7 linked regions of the Callithrix jacchus genome follow. The protein of the gene in region 4 purifies or fractionates together with the protein of the main gene of each other region. This does not show direct contact. Links are inferred from orthologs where the notes say so. Each region holds a gene or a part of one and is shown on either strand. Other genes may lie near its edges. The genes, in order: SF3B5, RBM17, SF3B6, SNRPB2, PHF5A, SNRNP70 and SF3A3.

Region 1 (2,603 bases), on a different chromosome or scaffold from region 4:
CTTCTAACATTTGCTTGCTATGCCTACAGTGTTTGACCTTTCTCCACCACCAGCATTAATGTATACCCAAGAACATGGGAAAATGCCTGTCACATAGAGCTCAACAAATATTTGTTGAATGTAGAATGGATGAACTCGCTTGCCATCTTGTCATTTCTGGAGACATGGTTTCAAATTCCCAGGAAAAAGAAAGGATGTAATTTAAAGAGGCTAGGGAAAACAATGACAGCAAAGATTTTTAAAACAGAAGAAAAAGATGGGATACATTAACCGCAAACTTCAAAACTGAAGTCATTGTGAGACTGAAAATAAAGCTCTTGGAGGAAGTGGCAGTCGGGGAACACTATAAAGGTATACAGGCATATCTAAGTGCCTGGCCACAGACACTGGCATTCGCACCCTCACCCAAACCCATTTCCCACTCGGACTCTCGCGAACCTCGGTGCCTGGAGCTCTTTCCGGAGCCCTCCACCCTAACACAGGAAGTTCACACCAAGAGACTGAACGATTTCTAAACTTTATGGAAAAAGCCAATGACAATCAATTAGGCAAAAACGAGACGCCAAATCCCATCTCACTCCAGCGCCACGCCCTCTTCTCAGAGACTTGCCGGCTGCAGGACCTCTCCGCCAGCACAGTTCTCAGGGGTCCTGCTGGTCTCTCAATGCTGTCCCAAAGTGTCCACATGAAGGCGGGTCAGGAGGGACTTCCCCGGCAAGCACTTCTATACGCAGAAAGCGCGGGACGCAGGAGCCATGGAGAGAGCCGGTCCCTTGAAGGCAGGAATACTCGAGGGATTTGGCAAACGGGAGGAACGCTGGGAGAGGCGCCGCGCACGGCGTTGGTAAGGCAGTCTCAGTTCTCCTCGGGCTTGTCGGCTGGCGGTCCACAAGGCTGCAGCATCTTCTCCATCAAGTTGAAGCGGACTCGCGCTTTGCTCTCATTCTCCGCAATGGCGAAGTAGTTGAGAAGGTCGAAGTGGCCCATGTAGGAGCAGTACGAGTCGCGGTGTTGGTTCACCAGCCACTCCCACTTGGTGGTGTCGGCGTGGCCCGTGCCGATGTACTTGGACTGCAAGTGCTCCAGCTGGCTGTGGATGGTGTAGCGGTCCGTCATCTCGCCGCTTTCCCCTTCGCTCCGAGGTCAGAGGCCGCAGGAAACAAGTCACCGCTCTACCGTTTCAAGCGGGAGTGAGGACACCGCACAGCACCTCCGGGCCCACGCGGTCGCAGAAGAATGGCGTCACTGAGACTAAGTAGTGTAACTCTCGCTCATAGGGCTCAGAGGCGGAAGCGGAAGCGGAAGCACATCAGTCACGGAATTGGAGTTGCCGAGGTATGCGACGCTACAAGTGTGCCGCCCCTGTAGTGAGCCGTGCCCCTTCATAGAGCGTTGCATGATGGTCCGCTTAGTGGCTATGAGAGGCCCTTTTCAACCGGGAGCGTTGCATGCTGGGACTTGTGGTCTTGGTCTTTGGAGTTCGTGCACGCCAGCCTCCGGAACTTCTGGTCGCCTTTTAAAAGCGGTATGGGTGCCTAGTGGAGGGTGTTGTCTGCGAGGCGGGAAGCATCCGTGGTTGGCTTGGGGCTGATGGGAAATGGGAAACCCAAATAGGAGTGGACTACGAGCAACCCCGAAAATAAACTCTTATGTATTTCGGACCTATCGTGGCGGCACGGCAGTCCCTTCACTACCCGGGATGGATTACCCAGAAGTCAGTAGGCGCGAGTTCTGGTCCCAACTATGTCGCTTAGGAGTTTGTAGCATCAAAGAGTTATTTCAGCTCTAACCAGGGTGTTTGGTGAGCAAGTACAGTACCCATTTCCTCACATTCCGGCTCCACCTCAAGTTCCTCCTTCCTCTCTAGCCAGTTATTTTGATATCCTCCCTCCAATGCCTCACGGCACCCTACTTGGCCCTTCCATTCAGTGGGTTTTGTGAATTCAACCAACCCGACTGAAAATATTTGGGAAAAAAATTAGTGTGTACCGAAGTGTAGACTTTTAAAGGTTATTATACCCTAAACAATATAACAACCATTTACATAGTATTTACATTGTATTGGGTATTGTTAAATAATCTAGAGAAAAACTATACGGGAGGATGTGTGTATATGCAAATACAAGCCATTTTATATCAGGGACTTGAGTATCTTCTAGTTTTGGTATCCATGGAGTCCTGGAACCAATCACTCACAGATACTGAGGGACAACTGTACTTCTCCATGTTACCTGTTGTGCCCATTCCCCAGTTCCTTGTGCAAGCTGTTCCCTCTACTTGGAATGTCTGTTCCCTTGGTGAACGCATCTGCCTTAAAGGCAGCTCAAATGCATCTCCCTAGAATTTTCTCTGGCTGCTCCAGACAGATGTAAATTCTTCTTCCTCTTTGCAGATTATCCATCTCTTCCTTATTATTGCTTTATATCCTAATTTTTAGTTTAATAACTTCCTCATATGGATAGAGGCTACCTGAAAAAAACGAGATCCTCTTTAAAAATTATATATATATATATCCCAAACAAGAATTTGATAAATAATTGTATTACAACCGTAGAGAAGGAACACTACTGAGAGAGAGAGAACTTGAAAATAGTTTTATTCTG
Region 2 (4,036 bases), on a different chromosome or scaffold from region 4:
TAGCTTAGCACCATGCTTGAACATTGCAAGTGGCTCTATTAATATTTTCTAAACATGTTAGTGAATGGATGGAAAATGTTAATGCACCTATTTAAATCACAATCTGCTTTTTTTTTTCAGACAGAGTTTTGCTCTTGTTGCCCAGGGTAGAGTATGATGTTGCAATCTTGGCTCACTGCAACCACCATTTCTCCTGCCTCAGCATCTCAAGTAGCTGGGATTAGATGCATGTACCACCACACTTGGCTAATTTTGTATTTTTAGTAGAGTTGGGGTTTCTCCATGTTGGTCAGGCTGGTCTCAAACTTCCGACCTCAGGTAATCCATCCACCTTGGCCTCCCAAAGTGCTGGGATTACAGGCGTGAACCACAGCACCTGGCCACTGCAGATCTGCTTTTTGAGGACATAACTTAAGATAAGTAGGATAAAATTTAAGTTGTAAGCCATAATTAAGGAGAGAAAAACTACCACCACCACACAACCAATAGTAGGTCAAGGTCTGAGTTCTGAGCACCTAAAGAAGCAGGCGTGTTAGGAAGAAATATTTCTATTACTAAATAGATATTCATGCATCATAAAACAAAGCATACCTCTTTGAAACCTAAGGAATATGGTAAGACTGGGCGAGGTGGCTCGCACCTGTAATCCCAGCACTTTGGGAGCCCAAGGCGGAAGGATCACCTGAGGTCAGGATTCGAGACCAGTCTAGCCAATATGGTGAAACCCCATCTCAACTAAAAACACAAAAATTAAGCTGAGCGTGATGCCGAGCGCCTGTAATCCCAGCTACTCAAGGCCGAGGCAGAGAATCATTGAATCCGGAAGCGGAGGTTGCAGTGAGCCAGTTGCGCCGCTGCACTCCAGCCTGGACCATACAGTAAGACTCCGTCTCAGGAGAAACAAAAAAGAATATGGCAAATACACACAGAAAGGAACAGGAGGGGTGGTGCACTTTGATGTCCACAAAAAATACGGCAAAAAAGGCATCTACCTCATGTATAAGATCTACCATAACTTTCTAAAGAACTGAAAAAAATTTTCCCCATACCTTCATCTGCCCTTGACAGTTTAATCTTTCCATTCATTCTCACAGTCTGCTACTCTCAAAATGCCATCGGGTAGAATTGCAAACACAGTCCAATAGAGTCACCTATAATTTAGGAGCGTAACAGAACATTCTTCACTATTGACTATGATGGAAGGCTTGAGAGATGACTAACCTGGGATCATCTGCTCCCTGCTGCGGGGAGGTCTGAAAAACTCATATGCAGAGGAGAATGAAGGTAATTTAAAACAAACCAGGTAAAAAGAAATCCACTTTAAATAAAGCTGCATTTGGGAGTGTACAACAATCCTCTCAAGAGCCTCCAGAAAGGCTGTCTTTGGTTCCGCAGAGGTCCACGATCGCACAACCTGCTGTTACAAACTGGACAGCACGCAGCACCTTGCCTAACTAACTCTAAAAATAAAGCCCTCTCGTTTAGCTCATAAATTGTTACCCCATCATCCCTAAAAGCTGTCATTACGATCAAAATGTCTGCAGCCTTTACCAACTAGAAATCTGGAAACTGAGTTGCATCCTTTAAAAACTCCATCTGTTGCAGGGAGCCAGTGCTCATGTACCCGTCTATTTGAGTATATGCGTATCCTGCCCTGATCTAGAATATCCTATTTTCCATCCATATGCCAGGCTCTAGCAATAAGGATCCTCAATGGCGCTCCTTTGCTGCTCCTCAAGAAACCTCCATGTTCTGACCGGACGACTCCTCGAAACACAGCACCCCCTCCTGAAACCTTCCTCTCTGCCTCACCTGCAGCTTCCAGAACGCACTACGGCGCTTCACTTCTGCTACTTTCGCCGTGACTTCCTCCGCCAGGAGCCTTTTTTCCCACCTCGCACATCTAACAAAGTACCTTCAAGACTCAACATAAGCATCACCTCCTCTCTCAAGATCTCGCGTCCTTCACCAAACCGAGCCTGGGTTTCCACGCCTGCTTTCCCAGAAACCAAACTCCTGCAAGCAAGGGCAGAACCTCGCTCCACCTGCATTCTCATCATTTCCCATCCTCTGGGCAATAGGTGAAGCTCAAGGACTGCCTGGGGTCGGAAGTGCGCGCTGAAACACCGCTCAAACGGCACGATCCGAGGCGACGCCGGGGTCCGGGCTGCCTTCCCGTCTCGGGGAGCTCCGGAGTCTGGGAAACGCCAACGTCTGCACTCCCAGTTCTGAGAGCCGGGGAAGAATCGGCTCCTTTCTCTGAGCCCGGGAGAGAGGCAACTGTGCGGGGCCAGGTTGGGGGACACGCTCCGGGTCTAGGGACCGGGCAACTTCGTCAGGACGTGGTGCACGAAGTGGAGGCGAAACGCTCTTCAGGGCCGAAGAGCCCGAGGCAGACAGGAGGAGGAGGGGAAGAGGGAGCAGGCCAGAGCCCGGGTCACCCGAGGCGGCGGCGGGCGGAGTGTACCGGGCCACCGCCGAGCGGAGAGGCCAGGGCCCGCTGCGGGGACTGAGACCCGCGGAGGCTCGGGTTGAGATGGCCCGGCCCCCACCCCTCGCGACGCGGCCTAAAGCCGCGGCCTCGCGTCCAGCGCTTCCCGGGAAGGCGCGCCCGCTTCGGGTCCCGCCAGGCCGCCCCCCTGGGGCCGCCAGGGCGCGACTTACCCGGCCCGCCCAGCCGACTCTGCCCATGGGCCGCGGCGGCGGCAGCGCGGAGCCGGGCGGCACTCCGCGGAAACCCGCCGGCGGCAGGAGCCCTTGGCGGCGCCCACCCTTCGCTGAGTCCTCAGGGCGCTCGGCTGCGCGGGGTCAGAGAGCGCGGGCTGCCGGGAGAGCGCGCCGCGCCTGCGCCTGCGCCTGCGCCTGCGCCTAGGCCTGCTTTGGCCTCTGCGCCTGCGCCGAGGGCTCCTTGCCGCACTGCCCCCTGCCCGCGGGAGGACCGCACTGCACGCTCCCCTCAGCAGGCGTCCTCTTCTACCACCAAGAGGTGTCGCCTGGGTGCACGTTTTCGAAATTCCACAAAGTTTGAGGAACGCGCGGCAGCGCCCCCAGATGGTAAGAAGGAGAAGTGGTCCGAGGCCGCGCTTTCTGATTGGGGGAGGTGGGGGAGTGAGTGTCTCCAGGTCTCTCGATCTCATTCATTCAAAAGCAAAAAGTTGAAAATAAATCTGCATAGCCGAGATGCTGGCAAAAGGATGGCAAGGAGCACGGGGTTGAGCATAAGATTAAGGAAACAGATGCCGCGATTGGGGTACAGAAAAGAATGTCAATGCTATAAAGCCTCGATCTTTAACAACAACGTCGCTGACAGAAGTAGGGAGGGGAAGGGAACGTGGGACTTCGGGAAAATGTGATTTTTACATCTGTAATTGGGTGTCAAATAGAGTTCAAGCCGATAAGTCAAATAGTAGAGATTTAAGCAGACGTCTTAGTCCGAAGGAATATACCAAGATACTATAATCCATTAAAATCCAGTGATTAAGAAAATGAGAAATGAGAGGAAAAAAAGAAATAGAATGGAGAGGCAAAAGAAAACCAAAGAAATAGAGGATTAAGGACGTCATGGGATGGCATAATTCTGAGGGCGACGCAGAGCAAAACTACAAATCTTTCAAATAATACACACACACACACACAACCACAGCAAAACAAACAAAGCAACGTAGGGAAATATTTGAAAAAGTTACAAAACAGAAAGCATAACCAAACTATATGACAGAACAAGACCAAATGTCTCACAGGAAGAAATATAGACCTAAGCTTAGCTATTAAAAAAAGGCTCAGATTGGAACACAAACCATCGTGCAACTAAATGTTGTATAAAAGAAAGTGCTGGCCGGGCAAAGTGGCTCACGCCTCTAATCTCAGCACTTTGGGAGGCCGAGGCAGACAGATCACCAGGTCAGGAATTCGAGAGCGGCCTGGCCGACATGGTGAAACCCCAACTCTACTAAAAATACAAAAAATTAGCTGGGCGTGGTGGCGTATGCCTGTGATCCCAGCTACTCGGGAGGCTGAGGCAGGAGAATTGCTTGAA
Region 3 (3,132 bases), on a different chromosome or scaffold from region 4:
TTATATACCCATAATAATTTTCAAAAAAATTTAGAGAGGCAAATCTAAGTTTCTAACAGTGTACTACCATCTAAATGACCATTTCTAGAATAGACCTCTGTTCTAAGACAAGGGTACCCATACTGACAAAGGTATTTTGTTAACTATAAAGCAAGCATCATTCAAATGTAAAGGCTTGGTTGCTATTACACCAGCTTTGTAGGTTAGCATTTTATTCATTCACCCAACATCATGAGCTTTGGTTTCCTCGCCTGCAAAATGCAAATACCTATCTTCACTGAGTTGTTATAAAGATCCATTATTAATAGACATTCAATAAACAGCAAGTTCCTTTGACGGCTAAGCACTGCACTGGACCCCGGAGGCATTAAGAATATAAAGAGGTCCTGTTTTCAAGAAACTCGGACTCCCTAGGAGCACCTACAATTCCTGATAAGCTTCAACTATTTTTTTCCTGGTATCAAACAGGGAGGGAAAGTTCAAAAGAAAAGACAGACGTGTTTCACAAAAAGCAACAGGTTTATTAATATCATGTATTCTGATATGTATCAAAGTTTCAAGGTCATTTTGAACCTAAAATAAGAAATCACAATATTTAGTATTAATTAAAAAGGAAAAAAAGGGAAAAGATGGTAGTTGTCATTCATGGTTTCAGTCCAAAATGAAAATGTAGAAAACATTTATTTTGGTGGATCTGTGTTGATGCCATACTTCTCCTTGAGAAGCTTCAACTGTTCCTCCTTCTTCTTTGTGTCCATCTTCTGAAATGCCTGGAAATGCAGTAAGCACCAAAGTTGAATTACCGATCTACAGCCAAATAAATTTCACCAATAGCATTAGCCAAAAAATAGTCACAGTAGACATATATCGTCACAGCACAGTTCTACACTAATTTTCAAATGAGATCACCATACAAGGAGAACTTGGCTATACTTACCCTGTTGGCATTATAGTACAAAACCACAAGGTATCTGTTACAAACATTGAATCCTGATAGGTGATCACATGCATTCTTGGCATCAAAGATGTCCTCATAGACCACATAAGCTGTTCCTCTAGTTTCAGGTGTGTTCCCCCTGGAGAGTTAAATCAAACTTAATTAAGATATACGTTTACCTGAGCATTGAGTTGAATAACAGAACTGTCTTTTAAACTGGTAACTGTCTTCTAAAGACAGTAAACTGAAATATGTTTTTAATTTAAATATTTTGAAACCAACCTGAAACCATAAGAGGAAATAAACACGCATAGATAACTAGATAAGCCTGTAATTTCTTGAATTCGGTAATTTTGTTTTTTGTTTTTATCTTAAGTAAAACATCTATAGGTCAAGCTTACTGCTATATCAGGAATACTAGGAACACAGCTACTACCCAGAACTCAGCTTCTTACCACCCTGTCTGGCACTACATTGCTTTTTTTTTGAGATGGAACCTCACTCTTGCCTAGGTTGGAGTGCAGTGGCATGATCCCAGCTCACTGCAACCTCTGCCTCTCAAGTTCAAGTGATTCTCATGCCTCCCAAGTAATTGGGACTCCAGGCATGTGCCACCATGTCCAGCTAATTTTTGTACTTTTAGTAGAGATAGGGTTTTGCCCTGTTCCCGGGCTGGTCTCGAACTCCTGACCTCAAGTGATTGAGCTGCCTCAGCCTCCCAAGGTGTTGAGATTACAGGCATGAGTCACCAAACCTGGTCTACATTCATTTTTAATACAACTCAATGCCTTTTTAATACAAACTCTAATGCATGATACAGCTGTATGGCTGGGGAGAAGGGCTAGGCTTCTGCAAAGATGGGAGTGGAAGTGTGCTTATAGATAGGGTTATCTGTGAGCAAGGGCAGAATGCTGGAAGGTGACTGGAAGTGGAAACTAGACCTTACTCATAGATATGGGGCTGCTGTTAGTGTAGGTATTCCTGGCCACTTCCTTCCTTCACTTCATCAGCTTCCTCTGAGAGAGGTAGAGAAGTGTGAGGAGCAACAGAACACTAAATTGTAGGCAGCAGCTGGCCATGTGATTGTCAGTGGGGACAATGGGTAGAGTTCCCACTCAGTTCATGCTCTGGATGACAAGATGGCCCCCTTGCCTCCATCTGTGTTCTGACCACCCAGTGCAACCGTGGAATGAGGTTTAAGATTGTTGGCTTTCCATCTGCCACAGTCCCTACATAGGGTTGAATAAAAGCAGTGGAGCCATGGGAAGTGGAGGCACATGCCTAGACTTGATCTAGGACAAGATTATAGTCCGGGCCCTGCTCAAGCTTCTGCTTCCTATAACATTGAAAAGGTGCAGGGTGCTGGGGGTGATTGGAGGGTGCCAGTGTCAATGAGTATGCTCACTTTGTCAGGTTACGTGGGCCTGATCTCGGGTTTTAGAATGTTCTTTAGGATCTGGGAAGTCTTAACAACTTTCAGACTTTTGACTTTTAAAAACTTAACAAGATTTTCAGTTCTTTAAGAGCAAAGGTGATCTTATGCCTACTTCATTTACTCCTATAGTGCCACACATAAGGCAGATGCTAATATGCCTTTGAAAGGTGGAGATCTACTTCCTATCAATTCTCTCACACATACTTTCTCCAGGAAGCTCAAAACAAAGCAACTCTCTTTCTTCCTCTTACATCTTCTTAGGAACCAGCATAGGGATAGATACTAACCCCACTTTAAAGACCCTCCATCTCAAGTGTCCCAGTCTTAATTATCAGCCTCACATCTTGAGAGCTGTATTATAATCTGAACATATATATATATATATATATATATATATATATATATATATATATATATATATATATTTTGAGATGGAGTCTTGCTCTGTCGCCCAGGCTGGAGTGTAAAGGCGCTATCTCGGCTCACTGCAACCTCCACCTCTTGGGTTCAAGTGATTCTCCTGCCTCAGCCTCCTGAGTAGCTGGGATTACAGGCACCCGCCACCATGCCTGGCTAATTTGTTTTATCTTTAGTAGAGACAGGGTTTCACCATGTTGGCCAGGCTGGTCTCAAACTCCTGACCTCATGATCTGCCTGCCTCGGCTTCCCAACATGCTGGGATTACAGGCATGAGCCACCGTGCCTGGCCAATTGGAACTTTTAAAAGCATGTATTTGTACCATGTATAGGGCACTGAGCT
Region 4 (4,200 bases):
CCCAAGCTGATTTTGAACTTCTGGCCTCAACCAGTCCTCCTGTCTCAGCCTCCCAAAGTGCTGGGATTACAAGTGTGAGCAATTGCACTCAGCTATTTCTTCTAGTTTTAGATCTCTATAATAAAATGATGCTTTTCTGTGATCCCTTAACATTGTCTACACTTATGTGCATGTTCATATTTGTTTTACTGTTGCCTAGTTTTCCATTTCATTCATTCTTTTATCCAATACATGTTAATTATCACTTTTCTAATTAATAAGGGTACTTGAGTAAGCAGAGCAGACAAACCCCCACCCTTAAGAAATCTGTATTATTTTTAAGTTGTTGCAAATTTGGGTTTTTATTTAAAAAAATAAAAATTCCAAGCTGATAAAACCAATCTGACAGCTACTTGCCTCACCAATATATGCATGTTATAGCCAGAATTCAGAAATAACATTTATGATCATTTATTTTGTCTGGCAATGTGCCAATCAATTTACATTTATTTTAGCTCATTTAATGCTCACAACAACTAGAAGGAGGCACTATTAGGATACCTATTTTACAGATAAAGAAAGTGAAGGTCAGAGAGAATATAGTTAAGAGAAGGATACAAGATGAGGTTCCCCTAGACCCTTAACAACCATTTCATATTCCAGGTGATGCTTTGCAGACATCTGATGAATGGATGAATGAACGAATGCATGCACTTCTTGGAATTCTCATTCAGCTTGGCATAAACACTAACTCCTTAGATTACCCTAGAAAAATCTAGACATTTTGTGGGAAGAGAAGAGTGGGAAGGGTGGTAGGGAATTATTTTTTCGAGTGAGTTGAGGCAGATGATCTTAAAGATGACTGGGTTCTACCCGAGCATGGTTGCCATATCTGAAAGATGAGAATAGGGCAGACTCGGAGTTCTGTCCGCCCTTGGTAGCCTCTGAGATTCAAGCTCATCAGCAGAGTGTTGGAGGACAGTTCCTGCAGAGTCCAGGAATCAGAGGAGACTTGGAGGCAGGAGGAACTGGCTATCCTAAAGGTGATGTTAAACCCGGGCAGCCGGAGCCCAAAGAAGGGCGAAACCAGGACTAATTGCCCCACAGCATGAGGGGCAGCGCCTGTTAAATTACATAGGATTTGGAAAGGTGTTAGGCACTCTTGTGCGGGGTGAAGCTTCGCAGGGTCGTGGTACGGGAAATTATTCATTCCCTTCCCTATTTCCTCGCAGCACGGTCCCCACAACCCTGCTATCTTTCCCCATTCCCACTTCCGAACTCATCTCCTGCCCTCCAGGCATTACGCAAGCGCAGAGAGATTCCCAGCCTTGGCCGCCAGAGAGCCGGAAGCATCGATCGACTCCGTGCTCGGCTTCTAGACTTGTCGACGCTCGATTGAGGAGCCTGGCAACGTTACTTCCGGTGCCTGGCTCCGTTTCCTGCTGTTAGATCTAACGAGGGACGGCGTACGCCTTAGGTGGGTTCCTGCGCCTTCTACCTCCTTGCTCTTTCTGTTCTCCTGACTCCTCTGCCTTTCTTTTCCCCTGTTGCAGCTGGGAGCGGACGAAGCGTAAAGCTGAGGTGGGGACGCGTTTGCCCCGGGGTTCTGTCTTAGGGGCGAGAAGGGATGGAGACTGACGCGCGTGACTGGCTGGGGCCGGGCATCGCGTCTTTGCTCCCTTGGACTTCTTGCCGGGGCTTTGGGCGAAGGTGCTTGTGTCTAGAGAGGTGGGAGGCTTGCGCGTACGAAGTAAAGGATAATTCATGTCCATCTGCTTTTGCGAGGCGTGGGCCGTTCACTGAGCTTTCAGGTGTCTTCCAGCGGCTCCCTTTTGGTAGTGGCGGGTAATTCAGAGAGGCCCTGTAGCAATCAAGGTTATGTTCAAACTTCGCGGGAGACCCTGCAGGAACCTCCCCTTTCTTCCCCTACCTTCGGTTTGACCTCTGCCTCAATCACTTCCCTTTCGTCGTCTCCTTTGCGACTCCTGCCCCTTCTCCAGATTTCGATTTAGGGGGTCGCAAGGTTTTGAGGAGCGTTTCCGTAGCCCCGCTTGTAGGCTCTTACCTTGTCAATCGTCCAGTGCTGTTCATATACAGTGGATGCTCTGTAAATATTTGTGAGATAAAGAAACTTTGGGGTACACAAGGAAATCAAGCAAGTTCACACTTTGCAAGTAAAAACAATGTGGAAAATGCAATTGTGTGGTAGATGAGAAAAATGTAGAGAAAGCAAGGGCTGAATTTCCAGGCCTAATGCTTATTAGCTGTGTGACCTTAGGCAAGTCCCTTAACTGGTAATAGCTGTTAATAATTACTCCTAAGTGCTTACCGCTGATGCAGAACGTGCTAGAACTCATTTAGTCTTCTGAGTTCTGTTGGGTAGGTTCTGTTACCGTTCTCGTTTCACTGATGACATGAGGGATTAAGGAACTTTCCTCAGGCAAACAGATAGTAAGGAGCATAAATAGGATTTCACTTCACATCTGGCTGGCACTAGAATCTGAGTTTAACAGTCATGCCATACTGCTCTCATTGAGCTCCCTTCTTTTAGGTCGGTTAGAGGTAACCTTGGAATCCAGATAGCTTGGAGATACAAATTAAGTGATAGGTATGGAAGGACTTTATAAGTGCACCCATGAAATTGGCATGAAGTTGGCAAGCTTCATTAATGTCTAATCTTATGATTTTTACTGGGTGTACATTTGCTACTTTGTCATTTTTCTTCAAATCTGTATTTTTAAATTGTTTCATCGAGCAGGCGGAAAGTCAGTATCACTTGTCATAAGCGAAAAGTAAGTGTAAAAATAAATGTGTTGAATTAAATATTGTTACAAAAATCTGGCTAGGTATTGGTGCCCCAAGTTTTGAGCATGAGACACTGTTCTTTTGTATGAAAGGAAGGGCTAGTGGGTGCTGGAGATACAATAAAGATTACAGCCAAACTGACATTTTCTGACAATTGGGAATTGAAAGAGAAGTGAAAAGTTAATAATTCTTGTGTTGTGTCCTTATGCTACAGTCCAGTATAATTTAATCTTTCTTTTTTGTAACAGATTACTTACTGTTTTTGAAGAATTTAACGCAAACATGGATATCAGACCAAATCATACAATTTATATCAACAATATGAATGACAAAATTAAAAAGGAAGGTAAGTGCTTTTTAAAATACTTGTTCACAACTAAAATGTGTTTATTTACTACTGTCTTAAAAATCGTACTGCCTGAAAACCTCTCACCTCATCATCTTAGTGCCTGAAATAATGGTTTATCCCATTTCCTGTAAGGATGGGAAGGCTTTTAAAAAACAAAAATAGATAGGAACTGACACTGTGTTCAGTCTGTTGCTACTCATAGCTATAATGGTTTCATACAGCCAATGGGAATAGTATATGTTTTTTATAAATATTAATATAACTGTATACATAAGTGAATGGTGTTAGCAACTCAATAGAGTATACTTTGAAGACTTGTCATTATTTGATTCACCAGTGACTTGTTTCTTTTCTACTTTGGACAGAATTGAAGAGATCCCTCTATGCCCTGTTTTCTCAGTTTGGTCATGTCGTGGACATTGTGGCTTTAAAGACCATGAAGATGAGGGGGCAGGCCTTTGTCATCTTTAAGGAACTGGGCTCATCCACGAATGCTTTGAGACAGTTACAAGGATTTCCATTTTATGGTAAACCAATGGTAAGCTAATCCTATTATTTTCCCTTTAATCAAGAAACTAATGATACTAATGGTAGAGTCGATTTGCAAATATGCTTGAAATTGTGGCTGTTGCTTTCTGCTTTTAATTATGTATGTCTTGGTTTTACGTATTTTTATAGAAAAACAGTAGCTGTAGAGTTTAATTTACAACAGTTCAGATGGGCAAAAACAAAATACATTGAGTTGTAGAATGTTTTTATAAATGGCAGTCTAGGCAATATTCTTATCTCAAAAAGTTACAAATTAATAATAACCTGGAAGACTTGAAACCTGTTTATAAACTTGTAAAACATTATAAAAGCCATGAGTCAAAGAGGAAATTCAGTCTGAAGTTTTAGAAAATGCTAATAGTGAAATACTATATGTCAGAAGCTATACAGTCTAGAAGAAACAATGATTGAAAGAAAAATTATAGGGTTAAACTCATAAGATTAAGGAATAACAATGGAAATGAACTTGTTATTCATGGAGAGTTTTAAACTCAGGAATGACATAATGAGATTCACAT
Region 5 (4,204 bases), on a different chromosome or scaffold from region 4:
TGTCATGATATATACCCAAATAGTGCTTAATGATAGATTTGAGACATTAATGAGTGGCTGTGACACAACATGCACTGTATAGGACTAATAAACACACAAGGTCTCTGTCACCCAGGCTGGAGTGCAGTGGCATGAACATGGCTCACTGCAGCCTTGACCTCCTGGGCTCAAGTGATTCACCTGCCTCAGCTTCCCAGGCAGCTGGGACCACAGGTGCACACCACCACACCCTACTAATGAAAAATATTTTTTTGGCCAGTCATGATGGCTACATGCCTGTAATCCCAGCTCTTGGGGAGGCTCAGGCAGGAGGATTGCTTGAGCCCAGGAGCTTGAGACCAATCCAGACAATAAAACGAGACCCCATCTCTACAAAAAAATTAGCCAGGCTGAACATGGCGGCTCATGCCTCTAATCCCAGCACTTTGGGAGGCCATGGCAGGTGGATCACCTGTGGTTAGGAGTTTGAGACCAGCCTGACCAACATGGAGAAACCCTGTCTCTACTAAAAATACAAAAAAAAAAAAAAAAGCTGGGTGTGGTGACACATGCCTGTAATCTTAGCGACTTGGGAGGCTGAGGCAGGAGAATCACTTGAACCGGGAGGTGGAGGTTGTGGTGAGCCAAGATTGCGCCAATGTACTCCAGCCTAGGCAACAAGGGCAAAACTCCATCTCAAAAAAAAGGAAAAAAAAAAAAAAGAAAAAAAATTAGCTAGGTGTGGTGGTGCATGCCTGCAGTCCCAGCTACTTGGGAGGCTGAGGTGGGGGGATTGCTTGAGCCCAGGAAGTCAAGGCTGCAGTGAGCCTTGCACATGATCATGCCACTGCACCCAGCCTGGCCACGGAGCAAGAGACCCTGTCTCAAATAAAAATTATTATTTTTTGTCGAGATGGGATCTTGCTGTATGGCCCAGCCTGGTCTTGAACTCCTGGACTAAAGTCATTCTCCTGCTGTGGACTCCCAAAGTGCTGAGATTACAGGTGTGAGCCACCATCCCCAACTGGATGTCTTTTTTTTCTGAGACAGAGTCTCACTCTGTTGCCCAGACTGGAGTGCAATGGCACGATTTTCGCTCACTGCAACCTCTGCCTCCTGGGTTCAAGTGATTCTCCTACCTCAGCTTCCTGAGTAGCTGGGATTACAGGCGCACACCACTAAGCCTGGCTAATTTTTGTATTTTTAGTAGAGTCAAGGTTTCACCATGTTGGTCAGGCTGGTCTGGAACTCCTGACCTCATGATCCACCTGTCTCAGCCTCCCAAAGTGTTGGGATTACAGGCGTGAGCCATCGCGCCTGGAGCAGATGTCATTTCTGAATAAGAATAATCACAGAGAGACATAAAAAGAATAGAGAGAGGGCTCTCCAAATTGCTGGTCTTGACACAGATTTGCTTACCTTGCATTTTCCCCTTGATGCAAAATAACTGCCTTTTATTGGACTACACCCAGTTTGACTCACAGAACTTGAAGAAATTATAACCTAGATGACTAGATGAACACAGTAATCTCCATAGACCATAGGAGATTGCAGTGGATGGCAAAGTGTTATTAAATAAAAGGAGGAAAGGTCAGATGGAAAGCTGTACACTTACATCCTTCTCCTGGATGGTACACTCCTTACAATAATAGGCATCAGAGACCCCAGGGCCTCCGCAGATCACACAGCGCCCCTGGTAAGATCCATAATTACACTCATCACATATGCGAACCAGAGTACAGGGACGCACATAGGAGTCACAAATCACACACTTGCCATCACCTGCAAGGAAAAGAATGAAGTCATGCTCACTAGCAAGTTCTTCAGTCCTCTGCTATTTCCTGCCATGGGGAAAGATACTAGTCTCCTTTTGACAGTGACTTTAGGGCCCTCCTCTTGGGAATCACAAACTTGGTTTATCCAGCATCCATCTCAAACCCCTCAACACATACAAAAGTTTATCAATTAACATATGGAAAGAACTTAGAAAAGCACTTGGGAGATGATAAGCCTATATAATTGCTGGCAAAATGTTGTATGTTGGGGAGGGGTCACGCTACTCTGGCGATTCTTCCTGTTGAAAGCTAGAGATAGATACAGCATTATATGTGCAAGTGGCAGTGGGGAGATGGAGGGGCCTTTGGTTGAAGTCCAGCATCTAGATCCAGGCACATCTACTCAAAGACCCCTTTGTGGCACTTTGGCTGGCTCCACAGAAACTGGGAGTAGGAAGGGTGGGTTGTTGGACGGTGTGTTCCACTCACATTTTTCACACAGTCTTCCGATGGCTGCAAAATCAAAGATAGTAAAAAGTACAATTAAAGATTTTGACAAAGAGGGGAAGTACATCCTCGACCTAGGGACAGGAACATGAACAAGGACTGTAGTGAGCCCTGTGGATAGCCATTTTATCATTACAAATTTCCACATAAAGCAAACTCATAGCCCGAGTATCCTTCTGAATGTCTTCCAAAGTCCTTAGCAAACTAAGTTTCTCTAGACTTGGCCCAGACCCCAACCCCGACGCCTGCCTGGGGCTCCCAGCACGCGCACCCCCGCCCTCAGAGGCCACAAACCTGCGCGCTCCTACAACACTCTATGCCTGAGAGGCGGGAAACGTGGCGCCTGAGAGGCTAGACCCTAAGGAAGAGATGGAAACCCCCCCAGCCCCCAGATCCTAACACTACCCCTACCCAGACAGCCGGGGGCAAGGCGCAGTCTCACCAACACCAGCCTGTTTGCGGCAAAAGATCAAATCAGGATGATGTTTAGCCATAGTTCCCAACGAAGCCGGCCGCCGGAAGCTTCGGGAACTTCCGTTGGATCCTTAACCCCTATAGTTCCTGCCTCTACGTCGTTGTGATTGGTCCTCTAGGCTTCCGTCAGTTTACAATCCTTGCACCAGGGCCCGCTTGCTCTCGCGAGAGTTTTGTCGCTGGGCGGTCAGGTCCTGGCAGGTGCATAAAAGTCTTAAAAACTCCCAGATTTGGATGGCAGAGATAATGAAAATTTCTTATTGGATAAACATCTTTGTGCTTGGTATTTACTTCTGCAAGTGACTTTCGGCAGTTTTATTTCCTCTTTTTCCTCTTGCGTGTCGGTTCATTACACGTGAACTCCGCTCACTGCGTTCTCAGGGTTCTGCCGCCTCTAGGGAGACCCCGCCTTCACCGTGACGCTCCATTATTTTGGGCACGCCCCTGCCCAAAGGCTTTAAAAGCGCCGTGTGGGACGTCACTTTCACGCGACCTCATCTTTGTCAGTGCACAAAATGGCGCCCTACAGCCTACTGGTGACCCGGCTGCAGGTGAGCAAGCTCAGGGACCTCTAGGTTCATGGGGGCGGGGTGCCTCCTACTCTGCCGGCGGCTGTGGGTGAGGCAGGGCGAGGCGGGCCCGACCTGGGGCCAATTTTTCTTGTACCTGTCCTGGTTGTGGGCCCAGCACCCGTGCCCGCTCCTCTGGTGCCCTAGGTCAAGGCGTCCCCCACACTGTCAGCTTTCCTGGCCCCGTCCCCCGCCCCGCGAGAAGCGTGGGCCCACGCAGCGGCGGCCAGGTGAGGAGCGGAGGCACCTCCTTCTTCTTGAGGAGAGCATTCCCTGCTTCTGTGGAGTGTGTTTCGGTTCCTCAAGGTGAGGACAAGGTGACTAGGGGGCGCGGTCGTTGTTGAGCATTCTAGGCCCAGTGCCTGAGGCCTCACTTCCCATTTCATAGCAACAGAGACTCGACAGCATCTGCAGTTGCCGGGCCTGGAGAAGAAACTAGGACCCTGTGCCACCTTTTGAGGACTCTGCGGAACATGGAATGCCTGGGGGTGTCTTCTGGGCCCCTGCGTAGTATATAGTAATGATAGTTTCTCACCTTTGCACAAGATTTGAAAACTTTTAATTCTTCGTTAAATCATTTGATTCATGTAATCATAGGAATGAGATGGTTTTTCTTATCTGATAGGTCATAAAACTGGTAGAGAGTAGGTGAAAGTTCTGGTTCTGAGTGTCACCGAAGTGCTGTGACAGAAGCATGAGCCCTACCACCACTCAGTTTTTGTTTATGTCAGTTTGCCCTCACAGAACTTTCTGAACCATGGTACTGTCATTTCTATTTGTCAGAATGCAGAATGAATGTTTTGAGCTCATAACAAGTTGCTTGTCAAATATGGAAGGATAGGGAGACTCCAGTTTGACCTTGACTTCCCTGTTAGAAGCTATGTAGAAAGCTGACTGTGA
Region 6 (4,190 bases), on a different chromosome or scaffold from region 4:
ACAGGCATGAGCCAATGCACTTGGCATTTTTTTTTTTTTTTTTTTTTTGGAAAGTGAGTCTCAATTTGTTGCCCAGACTGGAGTGAAATGGCACGATCTCAGCTCACTGCAATCTCTGCCTCCTAGGTTAAAGCGATTCTCCTGCCTCAGCCTCCTGAGTTGCTGGCCTTTTTCTTGAAAATTAGTCATTTGAATTTTGCAATAATTTCTATAGTTATTAAACAGGCTATTGAATCCATCCACAAAACTTAAAATGCAATACTTAACAACAGGGCCTTAAATAAAATAAATGCCAGCTCTCTGATCTCACGGCCAACAACCTGAGATTCCTGCCATCTGGTCCCAGTTCAGGACCTTTGCGCCTGCTGTTAACCCTCCCCGTCCCCCGATCTTGCTTCTATCTGGCCTTTGTTCAAATGACACTTCAGAGGAGCCTTCCGTTATCACCCTTTATAAAATGGCCTCACTCTCACTTCCCATCCCTTTACTCTGCTCTGTCCTTCTTTATTATGCTGGTCACCATCTCAAATTATTATTATTATTTTAAGATAGAGTGTCGCTCTTGTCACCCAGGCTGGAGTGCAATGGCGGTGATCTCTGCTCAGGGCAACCTCTGGCTCCTGGGTTCAAGCGATTCTTCTGCCTCAGCCTCCAGAGTAGCTGAGGTTACAGGCTCACACCACCATGCCCGGCCAATTTTTGTATTTTTTTGTAGAGACGGGGTTTCACCATGTTGGCCATGCTGGTCTCGAACAATTGATCTCGGGTGATCCGCCTGCCTCGGCCTCCCAAGTGATGGGATTACAGGAGTGAGCCACCGGGCCCAGCCCTTAAACTATCTTTATTCAGTCAAGCGCTTTTATTGTCTCCCTCAGTACAATGTAAGCCCAAGCAGGAGAAGACTTTGCTTTAGTCACGTGCTGTAGCCCCCAAAGCCCAGACAGTGCCTAGCACATACGAGATGCTCGATGAGCAGTTGATTGAATAGATTAGACATCAACGCAATCAGGCTATTCACTTAGGGACTCTTTGCTAGGCGGCGGAGAGGTACGTTACAGTACTCTACACAACACGCATGCGCGAAAAAAATCAGGGAAGTGTGATCGGGAAAGGGGCGGAGCGTCAGAGAGAGTCTCGTGGACATAGGCGGTTCGGAGCGGAAAGCGGCAGGTGGAGGGGCGGCTTGGGGCTGAGCGCGCGCGCGCAGCGCAGACGCCAGCTCCAGGAGACTGAGGTACTCAAGGTGCCCGAAGGCGGGGTAGTGACCTCGCGCGTGCGCTTTGCCAGCGACGGCTCCTGGGCCTGGTGTGTGGGTAGGTCTTGGCCTCTCGCGGCGCATGCGCAGTGCTGACGGCGGAGGGATTTCAGGTCGAGACCCACCCCCTGCTCCAGTCGGTAGCTGAGGCCGCGCGGGTTGTTGAGCAGCGGCCTTGTGCGCTCGCTGCGCGGGCAAGGGAGTCAGGCAGACGCGGACGCCGTCGGAGTGGAAGCCAAAGCGGAAGTTCTTGTTGCTGAGGGGCCGCCGCAGCCGCCCCGAGCCTCCGGACCGACGCCAGACCCAGGAGGGCGCCGCGCGGCGAGTGAGTGTGGCCGAGTGGTCCGGGGTGCTGGGCCGCTACCCACAAGCCCCTGCGGTGGGCCCCGGTACTTTTACCTGCAGCCAGGCCCCTTTGCCGCGTCCCCTGCTGCAGGTCCCTTCTGCATCCCTTTCCCGAAACCCGAGCCCTCTGCGCACCCACGCCTGCTTCCCGTAGCGTCCTAGGTCCCCTACCCACAGGCCCTTGCGGTGTATGGCCTTTTTTCTTTTTCGTCTTTCCATGTTGTCCTGGACCTTTACCCATAATTCCTTTCGTCTTGGGGGCGCCCAGGTCTGTTACCCACAGGCGCTTGGCTTTGGGGCTTCGCTGCTTATGTTTCTCTTTGCCCGGAGACTTCAGACCTCCAGGCCTCTGCAAACCGCATCTCATAATTTGTCCTCCAAGATACGAGACGAGCAGCCAGCCACAACTGCTCTGTGCCTCCTTTCTCGGGTCCTTGATTCCCCCAGAAATCCCCAGGGAAGCTCTCCGCCACACAGCTCGTGGGTCAGGACTCTGAGACCTCACTGCTCAGGAACCCTTTTCCAGCCTTTGTTTTTTGTTTCCTTTACGGGCCTGATTTTCACCTCCACCCCCACCAAGAGATGCCCTTTTCTCTTCTAGCGTAGGACGGTTCTCTGCCCTTTCAGAGCCTCTTCGAATTCCGAGACTTTACTCCTGTTTTCTCTCTTTTTCTTTTTTTTTTTTTTTTTGAGAGTCAGGGGACAAATAGGGGCTTTCTCTGTGCAGACCCAATCTAACCTAAGGCTGTCCTGCTTCTGCTCTCAGACTTGGCAAGATGACCCAGTTCCTGCCGCCCAACCTTCTGGCCCTTTTTGCCCCCCGTGACCCTATCCCATACCTGCCACCCCTGGAGAAACTGCCACATGAAAAACACCACAATCAACCTTACTGTGGCATTGCGCCGTACATTCGAGAGTTTGAGGTGAGTTCACTGAGCAGGCCAGGAATGGTTTGGGTTGTGGGGTGCAAGGATTGGATCTGGGAGTCCAGCCTCTGACTGGATTTGCTAGCTGTGTGATTTAAGCGACTGGCTTCATCTTTGTGATCCTCAGTTTCCCTGTTTTAAATGGGGTTGGAGCCAGGTGTGGTCGAGTGCACCTGTAGTTCCAGCTACTCAGGAGGCTGAGGTGGGAGGATTGCTTGAGCCCAGGAGTTGGAGGCTGGATTGCTTTGTGATTGCGCCACTATACTCCGGCCTCGGTGACAGAACAGGACCTCATCTCTTAAAAAAAATTTTTTTTTTTTTTTTTTTAAAGTGGACTTGTGGCCAGGTGCGGTAGCTTATGCTTGTAATTTCCAGTACTTTGGGAGGCTGAGGCGGGTGGATCACCTGAGGTCAGGAGTTCAAGACCAACCTGGCCAACATGATGAAATCCTGTCTCTACTAAAAATAGGAAAATTAGCTGGGCATGGTGGTGGGTACCTGTAATCCCAGCTACTCGGGAGACTGAGGCAGGAGAATCACTTGAACCCGAAGGGCAGAGGTTGCAGTGAGCCCAGATGGAACCGTTGCACTCCAACCTGGGCAATAGAAAGTACTGTCTCCGAACAAACAGACAAAGTGAGGCTGGGCTCAGTGGCTCACACCTGTAATCCCAGCACTTTGGAAGGCTGAGGCAGGTGGATCACCTGAGGTCAGAAGTTCAAGACTAGCCTGGTCAATATGGTGAAATCCCATCTCAACTAAAAATACAAAACTTAACCGGGCGTGATGGTGCTTGCTAGTCCCAACTACTTGGGAGGCCGAGGCAGAAGAATCACTTGAACCCGGGAGGCAGTCATTGCAGTGAGTCGAGATTGTCCCACTGTACTCCAGCCTGGGCAACAGAGTGAGGCTCCCATTTCAAAAAAAAAGTGGGGTTGATGGTATACCTTTTGTAGAATTTCTGTGAGAAAGTTCAGTTGAGTAGTGGTTGAGGATTCACACTTGGCTTGCACCATTTAATAGCTCTGTGAGTTTGGGCAAATGTGTATCTTAATGCATTGGTTTCTTTATCTTTAGCAAGGGGATAGTGGTAGCACCCCTCATACTGTTGGTGGAGAATTAAATGGCAATGTGTATGTCAGGGGGCTTGGCATCAAGCAGGCAGCCTATGTCGGCCTTTGCTACTCTGTTTACTACTTTTATTGTTAATAAGATGGTGTTCATAAAGGGCTAGCACCGAGCGTTGGAGGGCTTAAAACCCCAGACCAGGATCTTAGTTCTGCACCTTCAGGGTAAATGACTTCAGGAATGAATGACTTAGGCTCCTGGACCTCTCTGTTTTTATTTGTGAAATTGGGATGACAATGGTCATCTTGTAGGCGTATCTGAGGACACCTGAGGAAAGCTGGCACACAGCCAGAAGTTACAAGAACATTCTCGCATTGGGTAGGAATGGGCAGCTGGAGGTGGAGGGAGTTGCAGAGCAGAACTTCTTAGATAGGACGGGCGTGGTGGCTCACACTTGTAATCTCAGCACTTTGGGAGGCTGAGGCAGGCAGATCACGAAGTCAGGAGTTGGAGACCAGCCTGGCCAATGTAGTGAAACTCTGTTTCTACTAAAAATACCAAAACTACCTGGGCGTGGTGGCACGTGTCCGCAGTCC
Region 7 (3,500 bases), on a different chromosome or scaffold from region 4:
GCTAATGCCTGTAATTCCAGCACTTTAGGAAACCAAGGCAGGCAGGTCACCTGAGGTCAGGAGTTTGAGACCAGCCAGGTCAACATGGTGAATCCCTGTCTCTACTAAGAAATAAAAAAATTAGCTGGGTGTGGTGACGGGTACCTGTCATACCAGCTACTCAAGAGACTGAGGCAGGAGAATCACTTGAGCCTGGGAGGCGGAGGTTGCAGTGAGTTGAGATCATGCCACTGCACTCTAGCCTGGATGATAGATAGCGAGACTCTGTCTCAAAAAAATAAAAAATGCAATAATTATACAACTGTCCTAGATTTTACATATCTACAACCTACTGCCTTTAATCCCAGATACACAGGTTATTAGGATGCTGACTTGAAGGAGAGGCCATTTGTACTGGCCTAGGAGACAGTAAATAAACCTTACTTACAGGAGACAGCATCTTCAATCTGTGTCACATTAGCAAAGTGGGCAGTATTTGGGATGCCCAAACACCTCATGCCATGAGCATGACGCCATTCCTGGGAGAAGAGAGATGCAAAAGGACCATGTGAAATGGGAATAGCTGAACACAGAGCACTAACTCCATTCTACTCATAAATGCTAACATGGCCCTTTCCAGGACTCCACCTAAAGGCAGCATTCCTTGTGTTTCATGTTTGTAAACAGCTGGCTGTGACTGACAAAAGGCTGGTATTTCAAAACAGCATTGCACTGTTTGCCTCACTGGGCTGTGTTGTAAACCTAGATTCTAGAGACAGTAGTCTTACATGTAAAATTTCTGGGTGAGGATCACAGGAAAACATCACAACTCTAACTATATGTCCCACACTGCGGGAGAACCTACCAAAGCCCCAGCAACTCTGAACACCTGCATGAATACAGGTTACTAATGGCAGGTCAGCATCATCTTTGTTAGGCATAATGATGTGGTAAAACATGATGGCAGTTTTGGCTGAGGGATGGTAAATGGCATGTGGGTTTTAACCTGGATGTCAACTCCAATCATTGGAAGTGGTGCTGAGAAATATTCAGAACTCACTCATGGGCTCAGCAAAAAAGACCCAGGATCAATTAGTAATATGCATGACTCAGAGATGGGGAGAGGAGTTCATATAAATTCATCATCCTGGGCTGGGCGAGGTGGCTCAAGCCTGTAATCCCAGCACTTTGGGAGGCCAAGGCGGGTGGATCACAAGGTCAAGAGACCGAGACCATCCTGGTCAACAAGGTGAAACCCTGTCTCTACTAAAAATACAAAAATTAGCTGGGCATGGTGGTGCGCGCCTGTAGTCCCAGCTACTTGGGAGGCTGAGGCAGGAGAATTGCTTGAACCCAGAAGGCGGAGGTTGCGGTGAGCCGAGATCGTGCCATTGCACTCCAGCCTGGGTAACAAGAGCGAACCTCCGTCTCAAAAAAAAAAAAAAAAAAAAATTTCATCATCCTTGGTCTAGCATAAATCTTTTCCATTCTGTAATATTTCTTTCCAAAGTCTAAGAACTGAAAGTAGAGTCCAGTTAGAGGAGAGCCCACTTAGAGTAGCACCACCCGAACAATACCGTCTCAAGAATAGCTTGATAAATAACAGCCCCTTTGTTTTCTCAAAGAGGCAAAGGCCCATTTAAGATCCAAAAGAGATCAGTCAGTTCCATTTTCAGTCCTGAGTTTTAGCAATGGGGTAGAGAAATAACCAAATCAAAATTGATCTAAAATGTTAGCAAAAAACAAAGAGAGAAGTCTAAGAGCAGGCAAGAGAAAACCAAATGAGGTTCAAAGAGCAGAGTGGTAGAATTCCTCCAGAAACTGTCTCAGGTATTAACACTAATACTGGGGCCAAAAGTCAAATGCCATGGGCTGGATTTTAAAACTATCCTTTTCTGATTCCCTTCAGCTCTGGACACCAGTGGTCCACATGGGCTGCTCCTACTCTCTTCTCTAAAAGTCTAATGTTTTCACTTCAATTCCCAGGAAAAATGGCTCTGAATTTCTTACAGCAAAGTGTCGCTGGAAGGCTTTGGGCCCTCGGTAGGTGTAGTTTCCACAAATCTCACAGTTGTAGTTGATATTTAGGCCATGAAGCTTATATAGCCAGTAGGGAATGGGCTAAAAAAGAAAAACAAAAACAAAAAACAAAACCATCATGAAGTGTTAGCCTACTCAACTCTGTATCTGCTTCCAAAATGGGGAATGGGGAGAAAGTGGTAGTGCTGAGACTTACTTTGCCATCCCAGCCAAGCGGCAGGTTTTTGGGGTTGTAAATGATCTCATTCTCTTCATCTTCACTCTCACTCTCACTAATCTGCTCTTCTTCCTCCTCTTCTCGCTCTTCTCCTGTCCTTGCTTGCTTGCGTTGTACATTTTCATGCGTGAGATGTCGCTGTTCCTAAGGCAGGTCCATAAATGAAAAGTCAGAAAAAAGTAGTGCAGAAGAGGCCAGGCGTGGTGGCTCACATCTGTAATCCCAAGCACTTTGGGAGACCGAGGCGGGCAGATCACCTAAGGTCATGAGTTCGAAATCAGCCTGACCAACATAGAGAAAACCTGTCTTTACTAAAAATAAAAAATTAGCCGGGCATGGTGGTGCATGTCTATAATTCTGGCTACTTAGGACGCTAAAGCAGAACTGCTTGAACCTTGGAGGTACAGGTTGTTGTGAGCTGAGATCACACCACTGCACTCCAGCCTTGGCAACAAGAGTGAAACTCTTGTCTCAAAAAAAAAGTGCAGAATAAGAAGGGGAAATTTCCTGTTGCTGACCCCTTACTTCCAAGGATAAGGTTCTTTCTTCTAGAATAAAGGAAAATCTTGCCTTTATATCAGAACTCCTTATCAGCAGGCCCTACCTGATCCCAAAAAAAAAAGTCTAAGGTTTTAGATAACTTGCTTAATTACTCATCTGAGGCTATTACAGAACAACAGAAAACAGTCTCATCTATTCTGACTCTAAAATATTTCCTGGCTTACACCTGCAATCCCATCAATTTGAGAGGCTAAGGTGGGAGAATCATTTGAAGCCAAGAGTTTGACATCAGCCTGGGCAACACAGTGGGACCCTGTCTCTACGAAATAATTAAAAATTAGCTAAGCATGGTGGTGTGTATCTGTGGTCCCAGCTACTTAGGAGGCTGAGGCAGGAGGACTGTTTGAGCCCAGGAGTTTGAGGAAGCAGTGAGCTATGATCCCGCCATTGCATTCCAGCCTGGGTGACAGAGCAAGAACCTTTCTCTTTTTTCTTTTTTAATTTTTATTTATTTATTTATTTTTTTAAGACGGGGTTTCACCATGTTGGTGGTCAGGCTGGTCTTGAACTCCCAACATCAGGTGATCCGCCCACCTTGGCCTCCAAAGTGCTTGGATTACAGGTGTGAGCCACCACACCTGGCCCGCAAGAACCTTTCTCTAAAAAATACTAATAATAAAATTTTAAAAATATAAAATATTTCCTTACACAGGACTTCTCCTTTCCTCACCAACATGACCACATTCTAACTTGCCTTGAGTCT

What was found.
Region 1: the proteins of SNRPB2 (region 4) and SF3B5 purify together in Homo sapiens (affinity purification with mass spectrometry; 3 studies listed by BioGRID and IntAct, with this or other methods). This does not show direct contact. The link is inferred for Callithrix jacchus from reciprocal best matches to the Homo sapiens genes SNRPB2 and SF3B5.
Region 2: the proteins of SNRPB2 (region 4) and RBM17 purify together in Homo sapiens (affinity purification with mass spectrometry; 3 studies listed by BioGRID and IntAct, with this or other methods). This does not show direct contact. The link is inferred for Callithrix jacchus from reciprocal best matches to the Homo sapiens genes SNRPB2 and RBM17.
Region 3: the proteins of SNRPB2 (region 4) and SF3B6 purify together in Homo sapiens (affinity purification with mass spectrometry; 4 studies listed by BioGRID and IntAct, with this or other methods). This does not show direct contact. The link is inferred for Callithrix jacchus from reciprocal best matches to the Homo sapiens genes SNRPB2 and SF3B6.
Region 5: the proteins of SNRPB2 (region 4) and PHF5A purify together in Homo sapiens (affinity purification with mass spectrometry; 4 studies listed by BioGRID and IntAct, with this or other methods). This does not show direct contact. The link is inferred for Callithrix jacchus from reciprocal best matches to the Homo sapiens genes SNRPB2 and PHF5A.
Region 6: the proteins of SNRPB2 (region 4) and SNRNP70 purify together in Homo sapiens (affinity purification with mass spectrometry; 5 studies listed by BioGRID and IntAct, counting the BioPlex papers as one, with this or other methods). This does not show direct contact. The link is inferred for Callithrix jacchus from reciprocal best matches to the Homo sapiens genes SNRPB2 and SNRNP70.
Region 7: the proteins of SNRPB2 (region 4) and SF3A3 purify together in Homo sapiens (affinity purification with mass spectrometry; 6 studies listed by BioGRID and IntAct, with this or other methods). This does not show direct contact. The link is inferred for Callithrix jacchus from reciprocal best matches to the Homo sapiens genes SNRPB2 and SF3A3.

What each region holds. Positions count from the first base shown.
Region 1 is NC_133505.1:150,851,934-150,854,536, forward strand, and holds SF3B5 (splicing factor 3B subunit 5), read right to left. Parts: upstream 1,237-2,603; 5' UTR 1,117-1,236; coding exon 856-1,116; 3' UTR 501-855; downstream 1-500. Other genes in the region: uncharacterized protein LOC118153004, read left to right, coding at 1,237-1,335. UniProt on the Homo sapiens protein: Component of the 17S U2 SnRNP complex of the spliceosome, a large ribonucleoprotein complex that removes introns from transcribed pre-mRNAs.
Region 2 is NC_133508.1:7,706,231-7,710,266, forward strand, and holds the start of RBM17 (splicing factor 45), read right to left. Parts: upstream 2,801-4,036; 5' UTR 2,665-2,800; intron 1-2,664. UniProt on the Homo sapiens protein: Splice factor that binds to the single-stranded 3'AG at the exon/intron border and promotes its utilization in the second catalytic step. Involved in the regulation of alternative splicing and the utilization of cryptic splice sites.
Region 3 is NC_133515.1:91,183,868-91,186,999, reverse strand, and holds the end of SF3B6 (splicing factor 3B subunit 6), read right to left. Parts: intron 1,077-3,132; coding exon 938-1,076; intron 771-937; coding exon 681-770; 3' UTR 501-680; downstream 1-500.
Region 4 is NC_133506.1:23,839,124-23,843,323, forward strand, and holds the start of SNRPB2 (U2 small nuclear ribonucleoprotein B''), read left to right. Parts: upstream 1-1,400; 5' UTR 1,401-1,456; exon of another isoform or gene 1,457-1,560; intron 1,561-3,032; 5' UTR 3,033-3,066; coding exon 3,067-3,130; intron 3,131-3,498; coding exon 3,499-3,671; intron 3,672-4,200. UniProt on the Homo sapiens protein: Involved in pre-mRNA splicing as component of the spliceosome. Associated with sn-RNP U2, where it contributes to the binding of stem loop IV of U2 snRNA.
Region 5 is NC_133502.1:192,270,243-192,274,446, forward strand, and holds the start of PHF5A (PHD finger-like domain-containing protein 5A), read right to left. Parts: upstream 2,801-4,204; 5' UTR 2,756-2,800; coding exon 2,673-2,755; intron 2,336-2,672; coding exon 2,244-2,335; intron 1,762-2,243; coding exon 1,595-1,761; intron 1-1,594. Other genes in the region: ACO2 (aconitate hydratase, mitochondrial), read left to right, coding at 3,251-3,286.
Region 6 is NC_133523.1:42,899,742-42,903,931, forward strand, and holds the start of SNRNP70 (U1 small nuclear ribonucleoprotein 70 kDa), read left to right. Parts: upstream 1-1,390; 5' UTR 1,391-1,584; intron 1,585-2,366; 5' UTR 2,367-2,376; coding exon 2,377-2,523; intron 2,524-4,190. UniProt on the Homo sapiens protein: Component of the spliceosomal U1 snRNP, which is essential for recognition of the pre-mRNA 5' splice-site and the subsequent assembly of the spliceosome. SNRNP70 binds to the loop I region of U1-snRNA.
Region 7 is NC_133508.1:74,545,737-74,549,236, forward strand, and holds part of SF3A3 (splicing factor 3A subunit 3), read right to left. Parts: intron 2,381-3,500; coding exon 2,216-2,380; intron 2,101-2,215; coding exon 1,990-2,100; intron 519-1,989; coding exon 428-518; intron 1-427. UniProt on the Homo sapiens protein: Component of the 17S U2 SnRNP complex of the spliceosome, a large ribonucleoprotein complex that removes introns from transcribed pre-mRNAs.